Anolis sagrei: one gene and its partners. The protein of the gene in region 1 interacts with the protein of each later gene in a pairwise test. Links are inferred from orthologs where the notes say so. Each region holds a gene or a part of one and is shown on either strand. Other genes may lie near its edges.

Region 1 (7,613 bases):
AAGAGAAGAGGAATTCTGTTTAGCAGGAATAAGAATTCTGCACTTGTACTTTGTGGACTGTGCAAAGCATTGGAACACTGTATGTGCCAGGTTCAGTATAAAATAAGCAATATTGCTGCTGTTTAATTACAAGTTTGATTTAATTCTGCAAATTGTTTACACCTTTGCTGTTTATATTTACAGTGTTTATTTCTAATTGGCTCCATAGATCCCAAGGAAGTGGTGTATAGGCTTTACTGACTTAGGCTATATCCACACTACATAATTATAGCAGTTTTACATCATGTTAACTGCCATGACTCAATGCTATGGAATTTTTGTGTAGTTTTGTGAGATGTTTACCTTTTTCTGTCAGAGAGCTTTAGTGCCACAAAAAGCTGCAAATTCCAGGATTCTATTGGATCGACCCATGGAAGGTAAAGTGGTATCAGACAGCTGCAATTCTCCAATGTGGTTAGTCTTTTAGTCATTTTGTCTGAATTATAGAGTTGGAAGAGACCTCATGGGCCATCCAGTCAACCCCCTGCCAAGAAACAGGAAAATCGAATTCAAAGCACACCTGACAGGTGGTATTCAACCTCTGTTTGAAAGTCTCCAAAGAAGGAGCTTCCACTACACTCTGAGGCAGAGAGTTCCACTGCTGAACAGTTCTCACAGGAAGTTTTTCCTAATGTTCAGGTGGTATCTCCTTTCCTGTAGTTTGAAGCCATTGTTCCGCATCCTAGTCTCCAGGGCAGCAGAAAGTCAAGGATGCTCTTTTCATTGAAAGACAATTGGCTCTTGGTACTCATAGATTTAGCCACTGACAGCTTGATTTTTTTTTAAACAAACTTTCATGTAAGGGACACCATTTACTATGCCATTGTATATAACAAGACTTGCGTTTCCATGGATTTTGGTAACCATGGAAGGTCCTAGTACCAATTCCCAGCAAATATCAAAAGCCCACTGTATCTTCTGCTATAATGCAAAACATGGGGATAATCTTAGTGTGCAAATGATATTCATTAACCTTACAAAAAGACCATTTCTGGTGGTGGGAGATTGATCGAAATAGTTTGTTGTTATGCATAGATATAACTGCCTGCACTATTAGGTCATAAGGAGCACCTGCATTTCAAAAATTACCATTAAGCCACTGGGTTGTCTTTGTACTATGAGAGAAGATAATGGAAAACATGAAAAGAAACCAGACCTTGGTGGAAACTTACTGCACATAGAACATGCTGCAAAGAATGGAGCCTTTTCTCCCAGGGCATGAAACTCCTGAGAGATCTAACCTCACTATGCCTGTCTGTACACAGCTTAATGGGTTTTCTGCCCCTAGTGCCAAAGATGTACAAAGCCAAGACGGCTTGGTGTATTTTCGTGAGGCTTTCTGTCTCTTTATCCAGCTGATGAAGCCTCCTCTAAAGTCCTTGAATCTGGTTTAATGAGAGCCCATCTACCTTTGTGAAGGAAAGAGGGAGCATTTCATTTATTGTAGAAGAAAGGGATGGGCACATAATACAATTCCTGCACTGCTCCAGGAGGCTTTTATTATTTTTTTCTGGATGAGAAAATGTCTTTTACAGATGCAGAAAAATACTTACACTGGAAGGACGTTGGAATAATTGACCTTCAGAGGTCCTTTTCAACTCCAATTCTATGACTCTCTTCTGTTATTATCATTCACATACTTTTTATGTTTTTTCAATTCTATCCCTTGTAATTTGGCCCAGACTGCTGTGCACATTTCTATTATTTTATTTCATTACCTGTGTTTGACTTTGTATTACCTTGTTTTGTCTACATTTTATTTCATGTTTATTATTTGCAGCATGTATTTTATTTTGATCTGTTGTAATTGTTGGGCTTGGCCTCATGTTAGCCACTCCAAGTCCCCTTTGGGGAGATGGTGGTGGGATAATAATAATAATAATAATAATTATTATTATTATTATTATTATTATTATTAACACAACAAGATGAGTCCACAGCAGACACTCTGCTGGCTGTTGTATTAGATCATGCATCGGACACTTCCCAAGTGTCTAGGACTGTGTGATTTATCAGCGAATAATGCATGCAGATCCCAGTATGGTGGCCTTCTGCAGCTGGCAAATGGTAATATTGTCAGCGCTGATTGTGTTTAAGTGCAGGCCAAGGTCTTTAGGCACTGCATCCAGTGTGCCAATCATCATTGGGACCACCTTGACTGGTTTGTGCCAGAGTCTTTGCAGTTTGAGCTTTAAATCCTCATATTGTGTCAGCTTTTCCAGTTGTTTCTCTTCAATCCTGCTGTCACCTGGGTTTGCAACATTGACAATCCATACTTTGTTTTTTAACATGATCATGAGGTCAGGAGTGAGGTGCTCCAAAACTCTGTCTGTCTGAATTCAGAAGTCCCAGAGGAGTTTGATGTGTTCATTTTCTGTAATTTTTTCCGGCTTGTGATCCCACCAGTTCTTTGTTGCAGGCAGATGGTATTTGCGGCACAACTTGTTATTATTATTATTATTGTTGTTGTTGTTATTGTTATTATTATGTTATTGTTTGCCTTGAGGTCTTTTTTGACCTAGGGGTGCATCTACACAAGAGAATTAATGCATGCAGTTTGACACCCCTGTAGCTACCACAATTCACTACTATAGAATTATAGAAGTTGTAGTCGTACTCCAATGCTCAAACATAGGCTCCTATTTATTATTAGTTTTTACCAATCCATCAAAAAGCCCTGGAAACCTTCCCTTCCTCCAGGACTAAAAAAGAAAAAAAAACCTTGGGTATATTATCTTGGTCAATGGCCAGCAATGAAAAAACACAATATAGAATAAGGAAAACATAAAGTAAGGCAATAAAATGTCAGTATTTGAACTAGAGCAAAGAAACAATGTGAAATAGAAAAAGTTAAAAACCAATGATGAATAAGCCTTTGACAACACAATGACAACACAATACTGTACTCTCAGGGCTCTTCCACTGAGGGCCCTTTCATACAGCCCTATATCCCAGAATATCAAGGCAGAAAATCCTACAATATTTGCTTTGAATTGGGGTATCTGAGTCCACACTCAGATAATGTGGGATTTCCTGCCTTGATATTCTGGGATATTAGGCTGTGTGGAAGGACTCACAATCATATAACTCAGATTATTGAGGCAGAAAATCGCTGAAGACCTTCAGAATATACAATATTTTCTGTTGGCAATGGGGGTTCTGTGTGGGAAGTTTGGCCCAATTCTATCATTGGTGGGGTTCAGAACACCCTTTGATTATAGGTGAACTATAAATCCCAGCAACTACAACCCCTAGATGTCAAGGTCTGTTTTCCCCAAACTCCACCAGTGTTCATATTTGGACATATTGAGTGTTTGTGCCAAGTTTGGTCTAGATCAATCATTGTTTGAGTCCACAGTGCTGTCTATATCTAGGTGAACTCCAACTCCCAAACTCAAAGTCAGTGCCCACCAAGCCCTTCTAACATTTTCTGTTGGTCATGGGAGTTCTGTGTGCCGAGTCTGGTTCAATTCCATCGTTGGTTGAGTTCAGAATGCTCTTTGATTGTAGACGAACTATAAATCCCAGCAACCACAACTCCCAAATGATGACATCAATCTCCCCCAAACCCACCAGTATTCAAATTTGGGCATATTGGGCATTTGTGCCAAATTTGGACCAGTCAATGAAAATCCATCCTGCACAGGCTCGTAGCCAGGATTTTGATTTGCGGGTGGGGGCTGAGTTTGATTGGGGGTGCTGAGGTTGATTTTGGGGAGGGGGGCAGAGGATCTACCCTAGCAAACCTTTGGTATCATTATCCCAATACCCCCATGCCTATGGGATATATTGATCATGGTGATCAGATCATGATATGAATAAACACAACAGTTTAAATAATGTACCAGTAAGGCCTTCTCATGGACCACCCTGAGAATTTCGGGGGGGGGGGGGGCTGAAGCCCATCAAGCCCCCCCCCCCCGGGCTACATGCCTGATCCTGCATATCAGATATTTACATTCATAACAGCAGCAACATTGCAGTTATGAAGTAGCAACAAAAATAATGTTCTGGTGGGGGGTCACTACAACATAAGGAACTGTATTAAGGGGTCAGGGTATTAGGTAGGTTGAGAACTACTGGTTTAACCCATTGCACCACCGGGGACTCCCCCATTCCTGGTTAAAGATAGTCATACCTTTAATCCTTGCACATTAACCAAGCTATTGCTGCTGCACGATGCGTAATAAGCCTCTGAGCATGTGCAGAATGCCTTTCTCCCCAAACTTTGTTGTATTTTTGGTGAGCTAAAGAGGAGTCGGGAGTTGTAGTGCGGAGAAGGATGGAGAAAGACCTGGTGGAAGGACAGCTCCCGGGAGGGGCTCCCTAGAGAGGCAGGAGTGGTGTCAAGGCGCATTAGCCCCGCAGACAGGGGCCCGGCGAGGCCGCGGGGCCTGGCTCCTCCTCCTCCTCCTCTTTTGCAGGTCCCTTTAAGAGCGCCTGCGCTGCCGGCCAGGTCGCTCTCTCGCAGACTCGGAGGAAGGAAAGAAGCAAGGAAGGGCGGGCGGGCGGGCGGCCTCCCTCTCTCTCCCTCTCCGTCTCTCTCTGCTCCTCTGGGGCCATGGCCATGGCTTCTCCGGCCGTGGGGCAGTTCCCCCCGTATCCGCCGCTGCTTCTGGACAAGGAGCAGCAGCGCTTCCTGCAGAGCCTCAGCGCCTCGGAGAGGAAGAAGCTCCGCAAGCGCTCCCTGCCCGCCGGCAATAGCGACCTCCTGCATCCACAGCAGCAGCAGCAGCAGAGGAGGAGGAAGAAGAGGCAGGCCGGGGGGGCCATGGAGGGGGGCGAGGAAGAGGAGGACGAAGGAGAGGAAGGCGCCCAGGAGGAGCAGCAGCAGCAGGAGGAGCAGGACCAGGAGGAGGAGGAGGGAGGACAGGGGCGCAATGCGGAGCCGCCGCGGGGCGCCAACCTGCGCCTCATCCTCGAGCCTCCCGAGGAGCCCTCGCCCGCCAAGCCCGCCTCGCTCCCCTCTCACCCGCACCACCACCACCACCACCAGCGGCTCCGGCTGAAATGCGGGGCTCCACGGCTGCTCCCCGACGTGCGCACCATCTTCGAGCAGCCCCGGGACCCGCGCGTCCGGCCCGAGAAGGGCGAAGGGCACCGCTTCCAAGGCTTCGCCCTCGTCTGGCGCGGGTGGTGCGACCTGTGCGGGAGGGAGGTCCACCAGCGGGGCCTCCGCTGCGCCAGTAAGTGCGCCAAACAGGGGAGCCGGGGGGCGGGCGGGAAAGGGGCAACCCCGTGCAATGCAAGGACCGGCCCTTCCTGGAAAGTTTGGGTGCCCAGGCCCATTGGACACAACCTAAGGGGCTCCCCACACACATCCACACCTGAACTGCCCACCCCACTTCCCTCCTTGCTTCATATCTACTATTCCAGTGTTTCTCAACCCTCCTAATGCATTAACCCCTTAATACAGATCCTTATGTTGTGGTGACCCCCAACCATAACATTATTTTTGTTGCTACTTCGTAACTGTATAATTTTGCTACTGTTATGAATCTTCATGTAAATATCTGATATGCAGGATGTATTTTCTTTCATAGGGCCTAATTTGGTACAAATACTCGCCCAAATTTGAATACCGATGAGGTTGGGATTGATTTTGTCATTTGGGAGTTGTAGTTGCTGGGGTTTATAGTTAATCTTCAATCAAAGAGCATTCTGAACTCCACCAACGATGGAATTGGACCAAACTTGGCACACAGAACTCCCATGACCAACAGAAAATACTGGAAGGATTTGGCAGGCAATTGACCTTGAGTTTTGGAGTTGTAGTTCATCTACACCCAGAGAGCACTGTGGACTCAAACAATGATGGATCTGGACCAAACTTGGCACAAATACTCAATATGCCCAAATGTGAAGTGAACACTGGTGGAGTTTGGGGGAAATAGACCTTGACATTTGGGAGTTGTAGTTACTGGGATTTATAGTTCACCTACAATCAAAGGGCATTCTGAATACCACCAATAATAGAATTGAGCCAAGTTTACCACACAGAACCCCTGTGACCAACAGAAACTACTGTTTTCTGTTGGTCTTTGGTGACCTCCACAGGGGTCCCAACCCCCAGGTTGAGAAACACTGTACTATTCCTTAGATCAGGCCTGGGCGAGCTTGGGCCCTCCTCCAGATGTTTTGGACTTCAACTCTCACCATTCCTAACAGCCTAACAGCCTCCCCCTTAAGCCTCAGCTGCTTAAGGGGGAAAAGGAAAGGGCCTGACGCTGTTAGGAATGGTGGAAGTCCAAAACATCTGGAGGGCTGAAGTTTTCCCATGCATTCCTTAGCTGCACCTCTTATGAAGCACCTCTTGTGCAGCAGCCCAAACCTATAGACTCCTAAGGCACAGAGGAGCATTTTAAGGGGGTGCTTCTTGATTCTTCCGTACTTGGGGGGTAAAGTTTAGCAACATGTTCACCACATGAGCCTCACCTAGCAGAGCAGACACATTGAGAGACCACCAGTGTCTGGAAGCCTTCCTCCATGTGCCACTCATTCCTTTTAAAAGCTAGACACCCTGATAGAAAACAGGTAAGAAAAGCGTAAGCAGCTGAAGGGGGAAAGGAAAGGGCCTGAGGCTGTTAGGAATGATGGGAGTTGAAGTCCAAAACATCTGGAGGGCTGAAGTTTGCCCATGCCTGCCTTATGCACCTCTTATGAAGCAGCCCAAGACATGGTCCTTCAGATTGTTGTTGTTCATTCGTTCAGTCGTCTCCGACTCTTCGTGACCTCATGGACCAGCCTACGCCAGAGCTCCCTGTCGGCCGTTACCACCCCCAGCTCCCTCAAGGTCAGTCCAGTCACTTCAAGGATGCCATCCATCCATCTTGCCCTTGGTCGGCCCCTCTTCCTTTTGCCTTCCACTTTCCCCAGCATAATTGTCTTCTCTAGGCTTTCCTGTCTCCTCATGATGTGGCCAAAGTACTTCAACTTTGTCTCTAGTATCTTTCCCTCCAGTGAGCAGTCGGGCTTTATTTCCTGGAGGATGGACTGGTTGGATCTTCTCGCAGTCCAAGGCACTCTCAGCACTTTCCTCCAACACCACAGCTCAAAAGCATCGATCTTCCTTCGCTCAGCCTTCCCTAAGGTCCAGCTCTCACATCCGTAGGTTACTACAGGGAATACCATGGCTTTGACTAGGCGGATCTTTGTTGCCAGTCTGATGTCTCTACTCTTCACTATTTTATCGAGACTGGACATTGCTCTCCTCCCAAGAAGTAAGCGTCTTCTGATTTCCTGGCTACAGTCTGCATCTGCAGTAATCTTTGCACCTAGAAATACAAAGTCTGTCACGGCCTCCACGGTTTCTCCCTCTATTTTCCAGTTGTCAATCATTCTTGTTGCCATAATCTTGGTTTTTTTGACGTTTAGCTGCAACCCGGCTTTTGCGCTTTCTTCTTTCACCTTGATTAGAAGGCTCCTCAGCTCCTCCTCGCTTTCGGCCATCAGAGTGGTGTCATCTGCATATCTGAGGTTGTTAATGTTTCTTCCAGCAATTTTCACCCCAGCTTTGCATTCATCCAGCCCCGCACATCGCATGATGTGTTCTGCATACAAGTTAAAAAGGTTGG
Region 2 (8,213 bases), about 22 Mb from region 1:
TTGATGTTAGCAGTAGAAGTAATCTACTCTCAGTATATAAATTTGGTTTTCACTACTATAGTTAACATAAACCATGGTTTAAATTCAAATGACACCCTAAATGGTGAATTAATAGGAAATATAAGAAAAGCTTTAGGGCCCTTCCACGCAGATCTATATCCCAGAATATCAAGGCAGAAAATCCCACAATATCTGCTTGGAACTGGGTTATCTGAATTTCTGTCTGGATATTCTGGGATATATGGCTGTGTGGAAGGGCCCTCAGTGTTATGTCCAAACACAACTGGGGAGCACCAACCAGTCAAAGAGCTCTGTACCACTCAGATATCTAGGCTGCACCAGGGTAACTAACAGAAAATATTTCAGTTTTGACAACTTGGGACCTGTACTTTCAGTGAAACTTTTTCTACCATGGATGATAGTACAAATATGTACATGCAGACATGGTATGAGTTATATTAACACCGAAGACTTGATCACACTCAATCCAAATCCACCGTGAAGAAAGCTGACATTTTATTAATATGAATAATTTTAATGTGCTTTAACCTACACATTTTAAATGGGCTTATATTTTTATCTGTGTATTTTAACTATGTTGTACCATGACTTGAGAAGCTGTGGGTAAAAAAAAGTATTATTTTTAAAGAGTGTATACATGTACGGAAGACGTAAAAAGAAATCTTCTTCCCCCATCAAATAGAAAGTATTCCACTATTTATACCCACTGGGAATCTCATCTCCATCTGATAACCTCCAAGGCTGCATCCACATTGCAAAACTAATGCAGTTTGAAACTTTGACTGCCTTGGCTCATTGCTATGGACCTGTGGTACCTATAGTATGGTGAGACATAAAACCTCTTTGATAGAAAAGGCTTAAGATCTTGTAAAACTACAATCCCCATGTTCCTACAGCATTGAACCATGGCAGTTAAACCACTCATGGAGTGCCGTAAAGGGAAGTTTATGTTCTTGGATGACAAAATTTCTCCTGAGATGCTTGACAAAGAAGGGCAAGCGGAGCAAATGCAAAGATTTTAAAGTTTGTATATTTTTAGGTTTTAAATTGTATTGCATTTGTTTTACTGAAGCCGCTTTGAGTCTCTTTTGTAGAGAAAAAGGGGAATATGAAGAAGAAGGGTACATGTTTTTAGATAAATATTTGTTTACATCTTTTTGTTTTTAATTTGTGCATTTTTATTTTTTAATGTTGTTAGCTGCTTTGCGTTATTTTGAAGACAGAAAAAGGAGATAATAAATACTAATATTTTTAAAAAATAAATATTTGTTTATATCCTTTTGGTTTTAATTTGTGCATTTTTATTTTTTAACAGTGTTAGCTGCTTTTGAATCATTTTGAAGACAGAAAAAGTGGGATATAAATAATATTAAACAGAGTATATATTTTGAGATAAACATTTGTTTACATCTTTCTGGTTTTAATTTTGTGCATTTTATTTTTTAATATTATTAGCTGCTCCTGAGCTATTTTGAAGACAGAAAAATCAGGGCATTCATTAATAAAAATAATAATAATAATTATAATAATAATAGGATATATGTTATCTATATAAATAAAAATGTAATTTTAGTTTGTGGGATTAACATAGCTGAAAAACCACTGGACGAATTGACACAAAATTTGGACACTATACCCTTAACAGACCAATGAGTGACCATAACTCATATCCCCCCCCCCCCAAAAAAAAAGCCAGCGGAAAAAAAAAATTAAAAACCAAAAAAAAACTAAACAACAATACAGTGCATATTTCCAATTTCGTATTCCTGGACTGCAACTCTCCTGTTTACCTCTCCGAACGTATTCTCCCCTACGAACCATCAAGATTATTAAGATCATCTGGAGAGGCCCTGCTCTCGGTCCCACCGGCCTTTCAAGCGCGTCTGGTGGGGACGAGGGACAGGGCCTTCTCGGTGGTGGCCCCGCAACTCTGGAACTCTCTCCCACCGGAGGTCAGAACCGCCGCGTCTATCCTGACACTTAGGAAACGAGTGAAGACGTGGCTGTGCAGTCAGGCTTTCGATGAATGAGACAACACCCTAGGATTCTGGATGGAAGATGATGTAGATCTGATTTTAATATGACGACTGACCACCGTAGTTTTATATATAGTGTTATTTTAAACTTGTTATTGTAATTGTGATATATGATATTTTAATGAGTGTATGTGTTTTTATGGTTGGAAACCGGGCTGAGTCCCTCAATGAGATTGAGAAGTTCGGTATAGAAAACTTTGAAATAAATAAATAAATAAATAAACTCTCAGCAATCCTCCAGATAGATAAGATAGATAGATTACACGTCTTTCCACAAACGCCACTATCACCTTTTCGCCCATGTTTCAGCACTATTTCCAATTTTAATTTTACATTTGGCCTTCCCACAGTTTTTAATTGTATGTTGTCTTATTGATAATGTGATATGTTTATTGTTTATGTTTTTATTTTAATTGCTTGTATTGTTGTGTTCGGGCTCGGCCTCATGTATTGTTGTATTGTTGTGTTCGGGTTCGGAGATGGTAGCGGGGTACAAATAAAGTATTATTATTATTATTATTATTATTACATAGAGATAGGTAGGTAGATCGATCGATCAGGAGGACTGCTGGGAGTTGCAGTCCAAGAATAGGAAGGAAGAAGGAAAGACAGAAAGAAAAAAGGGGAAGATAAAGAGAGGGGAAGGAAGGAGAGGTAGAGAAAGAAGGAGAAAAGGAAAGAAAAAAGAGAAGGAGAGAAAGGGGAAGGGGAGATTGGACACAGCAACGCTAGTTTTAAATAAATATTTGTTTACATCCTTTTTGTTTTAATCTGTGCACTTTTATTCTTTAATATTGTTAGCTGCTTTTGAGTCACACTGAAGAGAGAGAAAGCGGGATATAAATACTACAACTAATAATCATCATCATCATCATCATCATCATCATCGGGATGAAATACATTCCCCAAGGAGGAGGAAAAAAGGAAGGCCTGAGAAGGGCGGGGAGGCAGTGGGGGAAAGAAGAAAGCCTTTGACACCCAGCCGACCTTCCCCTTTGCCTCAAGCACTGGCCCCACCCCGCCCTCCTTTCCCCCCTTTCGAGGCTGCCTCCTCCCTCCCTCCCTCAAGCCCTCCAGAGCTTCTCACCGGCGCGGGTGGCGCAGCTGCACGGTCTCCATGGCGGCCTCCTCCTCTTCTTCTTCTGCCCCCGACTGAGGGAAGAGGCTGTGAGGGAGGCCAAGGGCGCCGCACACACCACTCACTCCTTCACTCACCGCCGTCGCTCCATCCCTTCGCGCGTGCTGCCGGGCTCTGAGAAGAACCTCTCGCTCAGCCCCGCCCTCCCAAGGCACCAGGCCCACTTCCGCTTCCCGGCAACAGCCAATCCGAAGCCCGCCCGCTAGAGAGCCGCGCGCGGCACGAACCACGTGCTTGCTTCCCCCCCCCTCCTCAAACTCTTGGAGGAGATTAAGCCCGCCCCCTCGATGGGCGTGGCCGAGCTCGCGCAGCAGCCTGAGTTCAGTCCAGTCCCAGGCTGTGGAGCCGTGGGAGCTGTAGTTTGGCTGAAGTCCCATCTACATTGCCCTATAATCCGAGTTTCTGAATCCAGATTATAATATAATAAATAACTACAACTCCCAAGTGTCAAGATTCTATTTTCCCCAAACTCCACCAGTATTCACATTTGGGCATATTGAGTATTCGTGTAGAGTTTGGTCCAGATCCATCATTGTTTGAGTCCACAGTGATCTCTGGATGTAGGTGAACTACAACTCCAAAACCAAAGGACACTGCCCACCAAACCCTTCCAGTATTTTCTGTTGGTCATGGGAAAACTGTGTGCCAAGTCTGGTTCAATTCCATCATTGGTGGGGTTCAGAATGCTCTTTGATTGAACTATAAATCCCACCAACTACAAGTCCCAAATGACAAAATCTTTTTTTTTTTTGAGTGAAGGACATACACTGAGTTGTTAGGTGTCTTGTGTCCAAATTTGGTGTCAATTCGTCCAATGGTTTTTGAGTTCTGTTAATCCCACAAACAAACATTACATTACAAGGGAACCACTGACCGCATAGGGAAGCTGATGAGGAAACATAACATACAAACCATCTACAAACCCACCAAGAAAATCCAACAAATGCTATGTTCAGCAAAGGACAAGAGGGATCCTCTCACCTCTGCAGGAGTCTACCATATACCATGCAGCTGTGGACAAGTCTACATAGGGACCACCAAACGCAGCATCGCCCAGACACGCATCAAGGAACATGAAAGGCACTGCAGACTACTTCAACCAGAGAAGTCAGCCATAGCAGAGCACCTGATGAACCAGCCTGGACACAGCATATTATTTGAGAACACAGAAATGCTGGACCACTCTAACAAGTACCATGTCAGACTACACAGAGAAGCCATTGAAATCCACAAGCATGTGGACAATTTCAACAGAAAGGAAGAGACCATGAAAATGAACAAAATCTGGCTACCAGTATTTAAAAACTCTAAAATTACAACAGCAAAACAACAGAGAGAAAACAACCAGGCACATCTTAACACCTCTCAACAAGAGATTTTCCCAGGCTCAGGCAGGCCTTCAAATGATAATGAAGGTGGTCAGTTGAAACATTCACACCTAGCTCTAGCAGAGAAGAGCTCTTTGCCCCACCCCAGCCATTACACAGATATATAAACCCATTTTCCTATTTCCAACAGACCGCACTACCTCTGAGGATGCTTGCCATAGATGCAGGCAAAACGTCAGGAGAAATGCCTCTAGAACATGGCCCTATAGCCCGAAAAAACCCGCAAGAACCTATATATATATAAATGCTCTGTGCATAATGAGTACCTTAAAAACAAAAGAACCAATGGACGAAATCACACCAAATTTTGGCAACAAAACATCTCACAAGACAAGGAGTGACCATCACTCAAAAAATTATGCTTTTGTCATTTGGGAGTTCAATGAATGAACTGAACCAAACTTGGCACACAGGACTCCCTTGACCAATAGAAAATACTGGAAGGGTTCTTGGTGGGCATTGACCTTGAGTTTGGGAGTTGTAGTTCACCTACATCCAGAGAGCACTGTACACTCAAATAATGATGGATCTGGACCAAACTTGGCACAACCACTCAATACGCCCAAATATTAACACAGATGGAGTATGGGGAAAATAGACCTTGACATTTGGGAGTTGTAGTCACTGGGATTCACAGTTCACCTACAATCAAAGAGCATTCTGAACCCACGAATTCAGAATGCTCTTTGATTGAACCCACGAATGACAGAATCGGGGCAAACTTCCCATACTGAACCCCCATGAGCAACAGAAAATACTTAAGGCCATCCAGTCCAACTCCCTTCATCAGGGCAAGAAAATGCAAACACTCAAAATATTAAAAGTAAAAAGGCATTTACAAGTCAACAAGGCTGAGGTGATGTCCAAGTCAGTGATTAAGGTGCTGGCTGAAGAAAATTATTATAGGATCTATAGGGGTCTAGTTACCATCCCCCTCCCACACCTGCCTTATCTTCTTTCAACTGGATTATAGGGCAGTGTAGACTCTTATAATGAATCCAGTTCAAAACAGTTAACGGTTCTGGCCCAACTTACCTGTCCGAACGCATCTTATGAACCCTCCAGGACTTTAAGATTGTCTGGGGAGGCACTGCTCTCGGTCCCGCCTTCGTCACAAGTACGTCTGGCGTGAACGAGAGACAGGGCCTTCTCAGTGGTGGCCCCTCGGTTATGGAATGCCCTCCCTAAGGATATCAGATCGGTCCCCTTCCTTTTAACATTTCGAAAGAGAGTCAAGACTTGGCTCTTTGAGCAGGCATTTCCAAATATAGTGTAATAGACATAGGAAAATGGAATGGTTGGACGATGTGATTGAACAATGTTTTTTAATAGGAGACACTAATGTTCATGTTTTTATTGATTTTGTTATAGTTATAGTTTTATTATCCAACTAGCCACCCCCTGCCATGCGTTGCAGAGGTCTGGATGGGAACCGCCCTGTGCTCCCTCAGGAAGATAGGGTGGTAAATTATTATTATTATTATTATTATTATTATTATTATTATTATTATTATTATTATTGCATAGTTGGTGGTTGCAAATGATTATGGTTGTTGGAGAAATACATTTTACTGTGACATTTTCTAGCTTTCTTCACATTTATTAATCAACTAGCTGTGGCCCACTCTGGTGGTCATGGGGTTCTGTGTGGGAAGTTTGTCCCAATTCTATCGTTGGTGGGGTTCAGAATGCTCTGTGATTGTAGGTGAACTGTAAATCCCATAAACTATAACTCCCAAATGTCAAGATTCTATTTTCCCCAAACTCCACTAGTATTCACATTTGGGCATATTGAGTATTCGTGAAGAGTTTGGTCCAGATCCATCATTGTTTGAGTCCACAGTGATCTCTGGATGTAGGTGAACTACAACTCCAAAACCAAAGGACACTGCCCACCAAACCCTTCCAGTATTTTCTGTTGGTCATGGGAAAACTGTGTACCAAGTCTGGTTCAATTCCATCATTGGTGGGGTTCAGAATGCTTTGATTGAACTATAAATCCCACCAACTACAAGTCCCAAATGACAAAATCTTTTGGGGGGGGGGGGTGAAGGACATACACTGAGTTGTTAGGTGTCTTGTGTCCAAATTTGGTGTCAATTCATCCAGTGGTTTTTGAGTTCTGTTAATCCCACAAACGGACATTACATTTTTATTTATATAGATTTTATAGACTGCTCCGAGCCTTCGGGGAGTTTAAAATTGATTAATAAAATAAATAAATAAATAAATATGGTGGATTTGCATTGAGTGTGATAAAATATTTGGTGTTAATATAACTCATACCATGTCTGCAAGTACATATCTATACTACTCCTTAGTAATCTTTAGATGAATGCTTGTAAGTGTAATTAAGTCATGATATTATGTGAAAAAATGCAGTCTAAATGTCAGTGTTGAGTCCATCCATAGTAGAAAAGGGATCACTGAAAGTACAGGTCCCAAGCTGTCAAAAACAGAAATATTTTCTGTTAGTTACCCTGGTGCATCCTAGGTATCTGAGTGGTACTAGCTCTTTGGCATTCCCCAGTTGTGTCTTGACATAACACTAAATGTTTTTGCATTTCAAAACTGACTATCTTCTAGGCTTGCTTGCATCACTGCTATAAGGAAATCATAAGCTTTTCTAGTTTCATGTTATGTACATCACCATTTAGGGTGTCATTTGAACTATAGTAGTGCAACCATTCGGATTTATGATCTGAGAGTAGATTACTTCTATTGCTAACATCAACCACATTTTTTTTTAATTTTAGCAGCACTGCAAAATGCAGTTAAGCAAAAGAGCCTATTCCTCAGTGTTTCTATGATGACAAACCATAGTTAGGAATTAAAATTAAAACCAGCCTTGTGTTTTGGAGAGAAATTGATTTTGTTTGAGGGCCAGTCTGCAGGCTGTTTGTTGGCAAATCTCATTACCACAATGGCTACAAACCTATCCTGCCAGAGGTCTGGATGGGAACCACCCTGAGTCCCCTCAGGGAGATAGGGCAGTCTACAAATAAAGTATTATTATTATAAATAATAATACACTTTAAAAATCCAATATGATCCTGAGGCTTGTTCCTAAATTATACACTTTGGAATATATAACCTAAGTCTTTTGCTTCCTGGTCCATGCCACTTACAAGCTATGCACGTGGTACAAAAATTACATTTGTAGTCACATACGTTTGCCACCTGTATATACCAGGAAATGAGAACTGCCTCACAACCATATAATAAATGCTTTTAATTAAATTGCTGACCTACAACTATCAGTCCTAGACAGCAAATGCAATGGTGAGGGAGGAGGGAGAGCTACAATCTCACAAGTTTTAATACTTTTATTAGTTTAAATAATAAAAATGATTGAATAAATTTTATATATTTTTATCTTAGCTTTTGTCCAGATTTTAATTTGTATTGTTCTAAATATGTTGTTAGCCAGGTCCCATTATCAGGATTTTTACTTTGTGTCAGGAGCAACTTGAGAAACTTCAAGTCGCTTCTGGTGTGAGAAAATTGGCTGTCTGCAAGGACGTTGCACAGGGGATGCCTGGATGTGTTATCATTCTGTGGGAGGCTTCTCTCATGTCCCCACATGAGAAGCTAGAGCTGACAGACCGGAGTTACCCCGCTCCCTGGATT
Region 3 (7,765 bases), about 110 Mb from region 1:
TTGTCTGGGTAACATTTTCCCACAAAATCCTCCCTAAACAGGGACCATTGTGAATAAATGTTGCCTTCTTCCAAGTTTAATTACATCTGTGAACTCAAAGGCTAGGATTAAGTTACCTATCCTGCTAACTTATTGTTTCCTAAGAAAGAAAATGAGTGATCTTCTTTCTGCAGTGCGCAGTAAGCCCACAGTTGTTTGAAACATTGTGGTAATATGATACCAGACTAAAAGAAGGAGTTCTGCAAGTTGAAACACTGGAGGGACAGTTTCCTGCTGTGAACTTTTAAAAAATGCCCTGTAATAACACTGCTAAGAGGTTACTATCGGGCATCTGAGCCAATACTTTGCTTCTTCCACTTGACTTGTGGAAATGCTTCTATAATTAGATGAGTCATTGGCAGTTCCCCTTATGTTAATACTGTGTGTTAGAACAGGCTTTTTCTCTATGAAAATATATTCATAATAAATCCAGAAGTTCTAATTAAATGCTATGGGCATATTTTAGAATCACAAACTCAAGTAACACTGTGCAACTGACAAATCAGAAAGGCTTTACAGGCAACAAACAAGTTTACTACCAACTATTTTTCCCTTACCTTGTTTGTTCTTGCAAGATGAGATGTGGCTCCACAAAAAACTTGACACGCAGCTTCAATCTATAAGGAGGCAGACCGTCCATCTGCTGGGATATTCTGTTTCGTAGATTTAGCCACAAATTCTCGCCTTTGCTCCCTGTGAACTGGAGTCCGAAGTAGTCAACCTCTATAATTCCCAATCGCCTGCAAACCTGGGAATAAAAAAAATGAAACATTATAGAAGTTGGCCCAATGATTGTCAACCAGGTCCAGTGTGAGAAACCAATCGAGACCCCACTTGGTGGAGTTGTAACCATACCAATGGAAACAGTATCACTCCAATAGGACATCAAACTCCCCCAAAACAAAACCAGAATTATTCTTGGGAGTGTTCAACGAAAATCAACCTTATATACCTCAAGCATTCAGCAAGAACCAACTTGCCCTTCAATATTATCCAACATACTGCAAATATCAAAACAAAGACGGGAACACACACTTGGAGCTTTTACTAAATTGACAAAGTGGAATATTCTGCCTGGAAATGTGATTGAGTTCTCTCGAGGTTTTAAAGCAGAGGCTGGATGGCCACCTGTCAGGAATCCTTACAGTGGTTCTCAACCTGTGGGTCCCCAAATGTTTTGGCCTTCAACTCCCAGAAATCCTAACAACTAGTAAACTGGCTGGAATTTCTGGGAGTTGTAGGCCAAAACACCTGGAGACCCATAGGTTGAGAACCACTGCTTTATTATATGTCCCTGCATAGCAGGAGGTTGGACTGGATGGCCCTTGTGGTCTCTTCCAACTCCATGATTCTATGAAAAAGATAAAAACATGGAACAAAGGGCCCTAGATAATGAATGCAATTGGACCCAAGGACTTCTGTATACCCACAAAGGAGGGACATGTCGAGGCAATGAAAGCATCCACATGTTTCCCCTTTCACGCGTCTCCATTGTTGTTGTGCGCCTTCCTGCCCTTTCTGACTAATCTGTCACGGGATTTTCTTGGTAAGAATTGTTCAGAGTGAGCTTTCTCCGAGACTGAAAAAGTATGACTTTCCCAAGGTCGCACGATTAGTTTCCAGGGCCAAGTGGGGATTCAAACCCAGGTCTCCAGAATCACAGTCCAAAATACACAGACCACAACGCTGCTCTGTGTTCCCGCTCACATTGAAATCAAATGTTAGCATCATGGGGTATTTTTTTGCCAAGATACATTCAGAAGGGTTTGTGTGGTGCCCTTCCTCAGAGGCTGAGAATGTGTGACCCATCTAAGGTTATCCAGGCAGTGAGAATTCGCTCTCCTCTAAAGCTGTAAGAGCAAATATGGTGTGAGGCCACTTCAGGTGCCAGGGCTGGATGCTATGAGATCATGAGAGTCTGCAAAGATGGATCGAGACCTTGTGATGAAGCTACAACTACCAGAACCCAGTTCAAATCAAACAGAATTCATTCTACAGCAGCCAGGGGCAAACTTGGCTGTTAGGAATGGTAGGAGTTGAAGTCCAAAACACCTGCTGTTAGGAATGGTGGGAGTTGGGAGTCCAAAACACCTGGAGGGCCCAAGTTTTCTCATGGCTGTTCTACACAGTGTGAATGCACCCTAAGGGCAAACTTGGGCCCTCCAGGTGTTTTGGACTTCAACTCTCACAATTCCTAACAGCATGCCGGCTCGAGAACTTGTGATGAAACTACAACTCTCAGAACCCAGTTCAGAGTCAAACAGCATTCATGGGCAAACTTGGGCCCTCCAGGGGTTTTGAACTCCAACTCCCACCATTCCTAACAGCCTACCGGCTGTTAGGAATGGTGGGAGTTGAAGTCCAAAACCTCTGGAGGGCCCAAGTTTGCCCCTGGCTGTTCTACACAGTGTGAATGCACCCTAAGCCCAACGCTCAACCCACTAGGCCACATCACACATGGCGACCACATTCTCTGGGGGTTGTGACATTTCTCTCTCGACTTCAGGGGCTGATATATAGTCCTTCAGTGGCAAAGGGCCAGGCGGCGGATGAGGTTCAAAGTGGGCCCGGGGGTGGTTGTGGGGCTTTCCCTCCACACTACAAGCAAGGCGGCTCAGCGTGAGTGACGCGTGGGAGGTTATGGGAGCAGCCGGGCCGCAGGCTGTTACATCTCCCTTCCACTTCACCCCCCCCCCCCCGCCGGCGGCGCAAAGCAACGCAACGCCTGGCTATAGGAGCGCGCGCCTGCTTGAAGCCCTTGGCGCGCGACGGCAGTAGCACCGGGGGGAGGGGACGCAGATGGATAGAATGCCCTTCCGACTTCTGTCGGGAAGGGGGGGGAGGAGTAGAGAGAGCGTGCGCGCGAGAGAGACAGAGAGCGCGCGCGAGGCCAATCCAGGCTCAACGGCCGATTGAGAGATAGAGAGAGAGACCCGCGCGACTCTTCTTCACCTGGTCGAGGCAGTCTTCGCCGTTGGCTTTGGCCTCCACTTCCACCTCCATCACGACAGCGTCCGGCTTAGTCACATAGCACAGCATGGCCGCCGTTGCTGCTGCTGCTGCGGATACCGTCTTCTCCTCCTCGTCGGCCACGACGCACACTGAAGAGCCCCCAGCCCTAGACCTCCCTCAACCTCCACGCGTCAGACCTTTCCCTGCTCTGAAGCCAAAAGCAGTTCCCGGTCTTATATATCACCTCGGTCGCCCCGCCCACTTCGATTAAGCCCCACCCTCGATGGGATATAACCAATAGACGGGCGCGTTTCTGTTTTTACATGCAGCCTTCCCGACCAATCCAAAGCGGTGCTTGCCGGGAGGGCGGGTTTGGCGGACTGAGAAAGACATGTTGTTGTCAAAGGGCTCAAGGGTGCCCACACAACTGGGTGCATAAACTTCCGGTTCCTGTGTGCAATACATAGTGCGGGGCAAGGTAATAGGAAACAGAGTGGGTTGCTGTGAGTTTTCCGGCCAGTGAGGCCATGTTCCAGAAGCATTCTCTCCTGATGTTTCGCCCACTTCTATGGCAGGCATCCTTAGAGGTTGAGGGGTCTGTTGGAAACTAGGAAAGTGATGTTTACATATCTGAGGAATGTCTAGGGAAAGAACTCTAAAATTACAACAGCAAAACAACAGAGAGGAAAAAACAAGGACATCAAATACCTCTCAACAAAAGATTGCCCCAGGCACTGCTAGGCCATCAAATGCTAATCAAGGTGGTCAGTTGAAACATTCACGCCTAGCTCCAACAGACAAGAGTCCTTTGTCCCATCCTGGTCATTCCACAGATATATAAACCCTTTTTCCTAGTTCCAACAGACCTCACTACCTCTGAGGATGCTTGCCATAGATGCAGGCGAAATGTCAGGAGAGAATGCCTCTAGAACATGGCCATATAGCCTGAAAAAACCTACAGCAACCCAAAGAACTCTTGTCTGCTTGAGGCAAGTGTGAATGTTGCAGATGGCCAGCTTGATTAGCATTTAATGGCCCTGCAGCTTCAAAGCCTGCCTGGCTGCTGCCTGAGGGAATCCTTTGTTGGGAGGTGCTAGCTGGAAACAGAATGATTTGAACACGGATACACATACCTTGTGGCTTAAAAGTGGCATAGGGGGATTTTTAGATAATACATTTGTAATTTATAATACAATATAATACTAATAATAATTTATAATACAATATAAAACTACTACCACTAATAATAATACAATATTATAATTATGTATTTTATATATATATCCTACTTAGATACATCCTATCTCTGCTCACGCCCAGTGTTTATTTTAAAATTTTAATCTATTACATCTGGCCCGGCCTTAAGATTTTAAAATGTTTGTGTGTTATTGCTTATATGTAAGTTATATTAATTGTACTGTTTTATTTGCTTGCTGCTTTGTTGTTTACTGATGTGTTGTTGGGCTTGGCCTCACGTAAGCCGCCTCGAGTCCCCTTGGGGAGATGGTGGCGGGGTATAAAGTTTTATATTATTATATATTTTACAATATAATAATATAGTACAATATAGTAATATATAATACTGATATTATGCTATGCTAATAATATAATATATTGTATGTATATATATCTTGTAAGCCGCTCTGAGTCCCCTTCGAGGTGAGAAGAGTAGCATATAAATGTTGTAAATAAATAAATAAATTAGAGAGGCTCAAAGCCAACCTTTAAAATTGTGGCATAGACATCAAGAACCTGGAAACCCTGGCCCTTGAGCGCTCTAACTGGAGGTCAGCTGTGTCCAACAATGCTGCAGAATTCGAAGAGGCATGAATGGAGTGCAAAAGGGAGAAACGTTCCAAGAGGTAGGTGCGCCAAGCCAACCCTGACCAGGACAGCTTTCCACCTGTAAACCGATGTCCCCACTGCGGGAGAAAAAGCGGATCAAGAATTGGGTTCCATAGCCATTTACGAACCCACCGTCAAGACACATCACTTGGAGGACCATCATCCTCTGACTACGAGGGATCACCTAAATAAGTTTAGAGAGGCAAATAATCAGGCAACCAGGGGCAATCAGTTGTTGCTGGACTTCATAGCCCTCAAGTTAGCTTTGACTTATGGAGGCTCTGTGAATAAGTGGGCTTCCTTTTTTTTTTCTTTCCAGGTCATAGAATGGATCTACAGTACACTGTAGAATTAATGCAGTTTGGCACCACTTTAACTACCATGTCTCAATGCTATGGAATGCTGGGAGTTGTAGTTTTACAAGGACCTTAGCCTTCTTAGTATTTGTGCTCACCAAACTACACATCGCATAATGACTGATTTTTTTTTTAAAGGGAGTTAACTCTTGTTTGCTGTGATTTTGAGGTTTATATATCTGTGGAATGTCCAGGGTGGGAATCAGCCAGGCTTTGAAGCTGCAAGGCCATTCTATGCCACTCAAGGTGGCCTATTGCAGCATTCCCACTTGCCTCAAACAGATGAGAGTTGGATAGTTGTAGGTTTTTTCAGGCTATATGACCATGTTCTAGAGGCATTCTCTCCTGACGTTTCGCCTGCATCTACAGCAAGCATCCTCAGGGGTAGTGAGGTGACAAGAGTTCTCTCTCCCACCCTGGATATTATTCCACAGATATATAAACCTCACTTGCCTCATTTTCCAACAGACCTCACAATCTCTGAGGATGCCTGCCATAGATTTGGGTGAAACGTCAGGAGAGAATGCTTCTGGAACATGGCCATACAGCCCCAAAAAATCACAGCAACCCTATGTTGAATTGGTTGAGACAAAATGTGCTGCAGGATATCCCACAAAAACAACATTTTGCAGTTTACTAAACTTTGTCCATGTTTTTATGACAGAACCAATTAGGAAATGACATTTATAACTCAGGAACAAAAACCATGTTTTGTAGTGCAATTGATAACAATACCAATCTATAGCAAACACATATGTTCCCTTCCTCTCTATATCTCCTTGCTTGCTTTCTATTAGGTAGTTTGTACCAGAAGGAGAGACGTTTTCTCTTTGAAGTCTAGTTAACACTTGGAAAAGGAGAGTCTATTCAGTAGAGAGCTGATTTAGTGTAATTCTATCCATGTTTATTTGAAAATAAATCCCACAAGCTTCAGTGACTTTAATTCCAGGAGAAGAGCACACAGGATTGTATTTTTGGCTGTGATAGATTACTTTGTATTGTCTCTGCCTTTTCGCTGTACAATTCACACAGGAAACGATTACAATTAAAATATGGAAACATTATGCCAAAGTATACAATACAGAAATCCTTGCCTTGTTCATTTTGGGGGGAAAAAAACAAAAAAAAAAAGAATTGTATGCAGGTTTCTACATATATATTCACAATATGATGTCACAAATAACACTGCAATATCACAAGCAAAGAATACTGAATTGCTCTGGCATTTTCTTAACCATAATAAGCAATCTGTTTGTGTGCCAAAGTAAGCTCATAATAGAGCAGGGATGGGCAAACTTCGGCCCTCCAGGTGTTTTGGACTCCAACTTCCACAATTCCTAACAGCCGGTAGGCTGTTAGGAATTGTGGGAGTTGGAGTCCAAAACACCTGGAGGGCCAAAGTTTGCTCATCCCTGCTCTATCGTGAGCTTACTTTGACACACAAACACAGCCCAACAAAAAAATATTTGTGTTGTGGCTTTTAAGCCTGTTCTTGGGGTTATTTGGGGTGTTGATTCAGAAAATTGCATTGGATAGACTGTATCTGCTCTAGTTTCTTAGAAATGGTTATCATGATTTTCTATGGGTGAGCAGATGGCAACTGGTAGATGGCATATGTTCTATATCTCAAAAACTAGAGCTGACAGAGGAAAACTAGTGCCATTTTTGAAATCAGCAGGTCAAATATACCCAAAAGCAGGGCTAACATTTGAAGCACCAAAATGCATGTATCCAGCGTTATAAGCTCAGCGGATTAAACCACTGAGCTGCTGAACTTGTTGACCAAAAGGTTGGTGGTTCGAATCCGGGGAACGGAGTGAGCTCCTGCTGTTAGTCCCAGCTTCTGCCAACTTAGCAGTTTGAAAACATGCAAATGTGAGTAGATCTATAGCTGCCACTTTTGCGAGAAGGTAACAGCACTCCATGCAGTCATGCTGGCCACATGACCTTGGAGGCGTCTATGGACAACGCTGGCTCTTTGTCTTAGAAATGGAGATGAGCACCAACCCACAGAGTCGGACACAGGCAAACTAAATGTTAGGGGAAAACCTTTACCTTTACCTAGTATTATAAGATGATTTGCTCTTCAAATGTAGACACTTCTGGATAGATCCTTGTAGGTGCCTTCTGAGGCCCTTTCTACACTGCCATATAAAATCCAGATTATTTTTGAACTGGATTATATGGCAGTTTTCTGTGAAATGTGATGGTAGAGAATGTCAATAGCTCATTGATCAACAGAACCTAAGGCCCCTTCCACACAGCTGAATAAAATCCCACATTATCTTCTTTGAACTGGAATATATGGCAGTGTGGACTCAGATAACTCAGTTCATAGAATCATAGAATCATAGAATCGTAGAATCAAAGAGTTGGAAGAGACCTCATGGGCCATCCAGTCCAACCCCCTGCCAAGAAGCAGGAATATTGCATTCAAATCACCCCTGACAAATGGCCATCCAGCCTCTGCTTAAAAGCTTCCAAAGAAGGAGCCTCCACCACACTCCAGGGCAGAGAGTTCCACTGCTGAACGGCTCTCACAGTCAGGAAGTTCTTCCTAATGTTCAGATGGA

Evidence for each region.
Region 2: the proteins of RASSF5 (region 1) and STK4 interact in binary tests that used the Homo sapiens proteins (3 or more experiments, as listed by UniProt). The link is inferred for Anolis sagrei from reciprocal best matches to the Homo sapiens genes RASSF5 and STK4.
Region 3: the proteins of RASSF5 (region 1) and MYLIP interact in binary tests that used the Homo sapiens proteins (3 or more experiments, as listed by UniProt). The two-hybrid records come from large-scale screens. The link is inferred for Anolis sagrei from reciprocal best matches to the Homo sapiens genes RASSF5 and MYLIP.

Annotation. Positions count from the first base shown.
Region 1 is NC_090024.1:195,607,435-195,615,047, forward strand, and holds the start of RASSF5 (ras association domain-containing protein 5), read left to right. Parts: upstream 1-4,455; 5' UTR 4,456-4,600; coding exon 4,601-5,225; intron 5,226-7,613. UniProt on the Homo sapiens protein: Potential tumor suppressor. Seems to be involved in lymphocyte adhesion by linking RAP1A activation upon T-cell receptor or chemokine stimulation to integrin activation.
Region 2 is NC_090024.1:217,653,516-217,661,728, forward strand, and holds the start of STK4 (serine/threonine-protein kinase 4), read right to left. Parts: upstream 3,355-8,213; 5' UTR 3,177-3,354; coding exon 3,145-3,176; intron 1-3,144. UniProt on the Homo sapiens protein: Stress-activated, pro-apoptotic kinase which, following caspase-cleavage, enters the nucleus and induces chromatin condensation followed by internucleosomal DNA fragmentation.
Region 3 is NC_090024.1:81,176,070-81,183,834, reverse strand, and holds the start of MYLIP (E3 ubiquitin-protein ligase MYLIP), read right to left. Parts: upstream 3,221-7,765; 5' UTR 3,079-3,220; coding exon 2,992-3,078; intron 788-2,991; coding exon 597-787; intron 1-596. UniProt on the Homo sapiens protein: E3 ubiquitin-protein ligase that mediates ubiquitination and subsequent proteasomal degradation of myosin regulatory light chain (MRLC), LDLR, VLDLR and LRP8. Activity depends on E2 enzymes of the UBE2D family.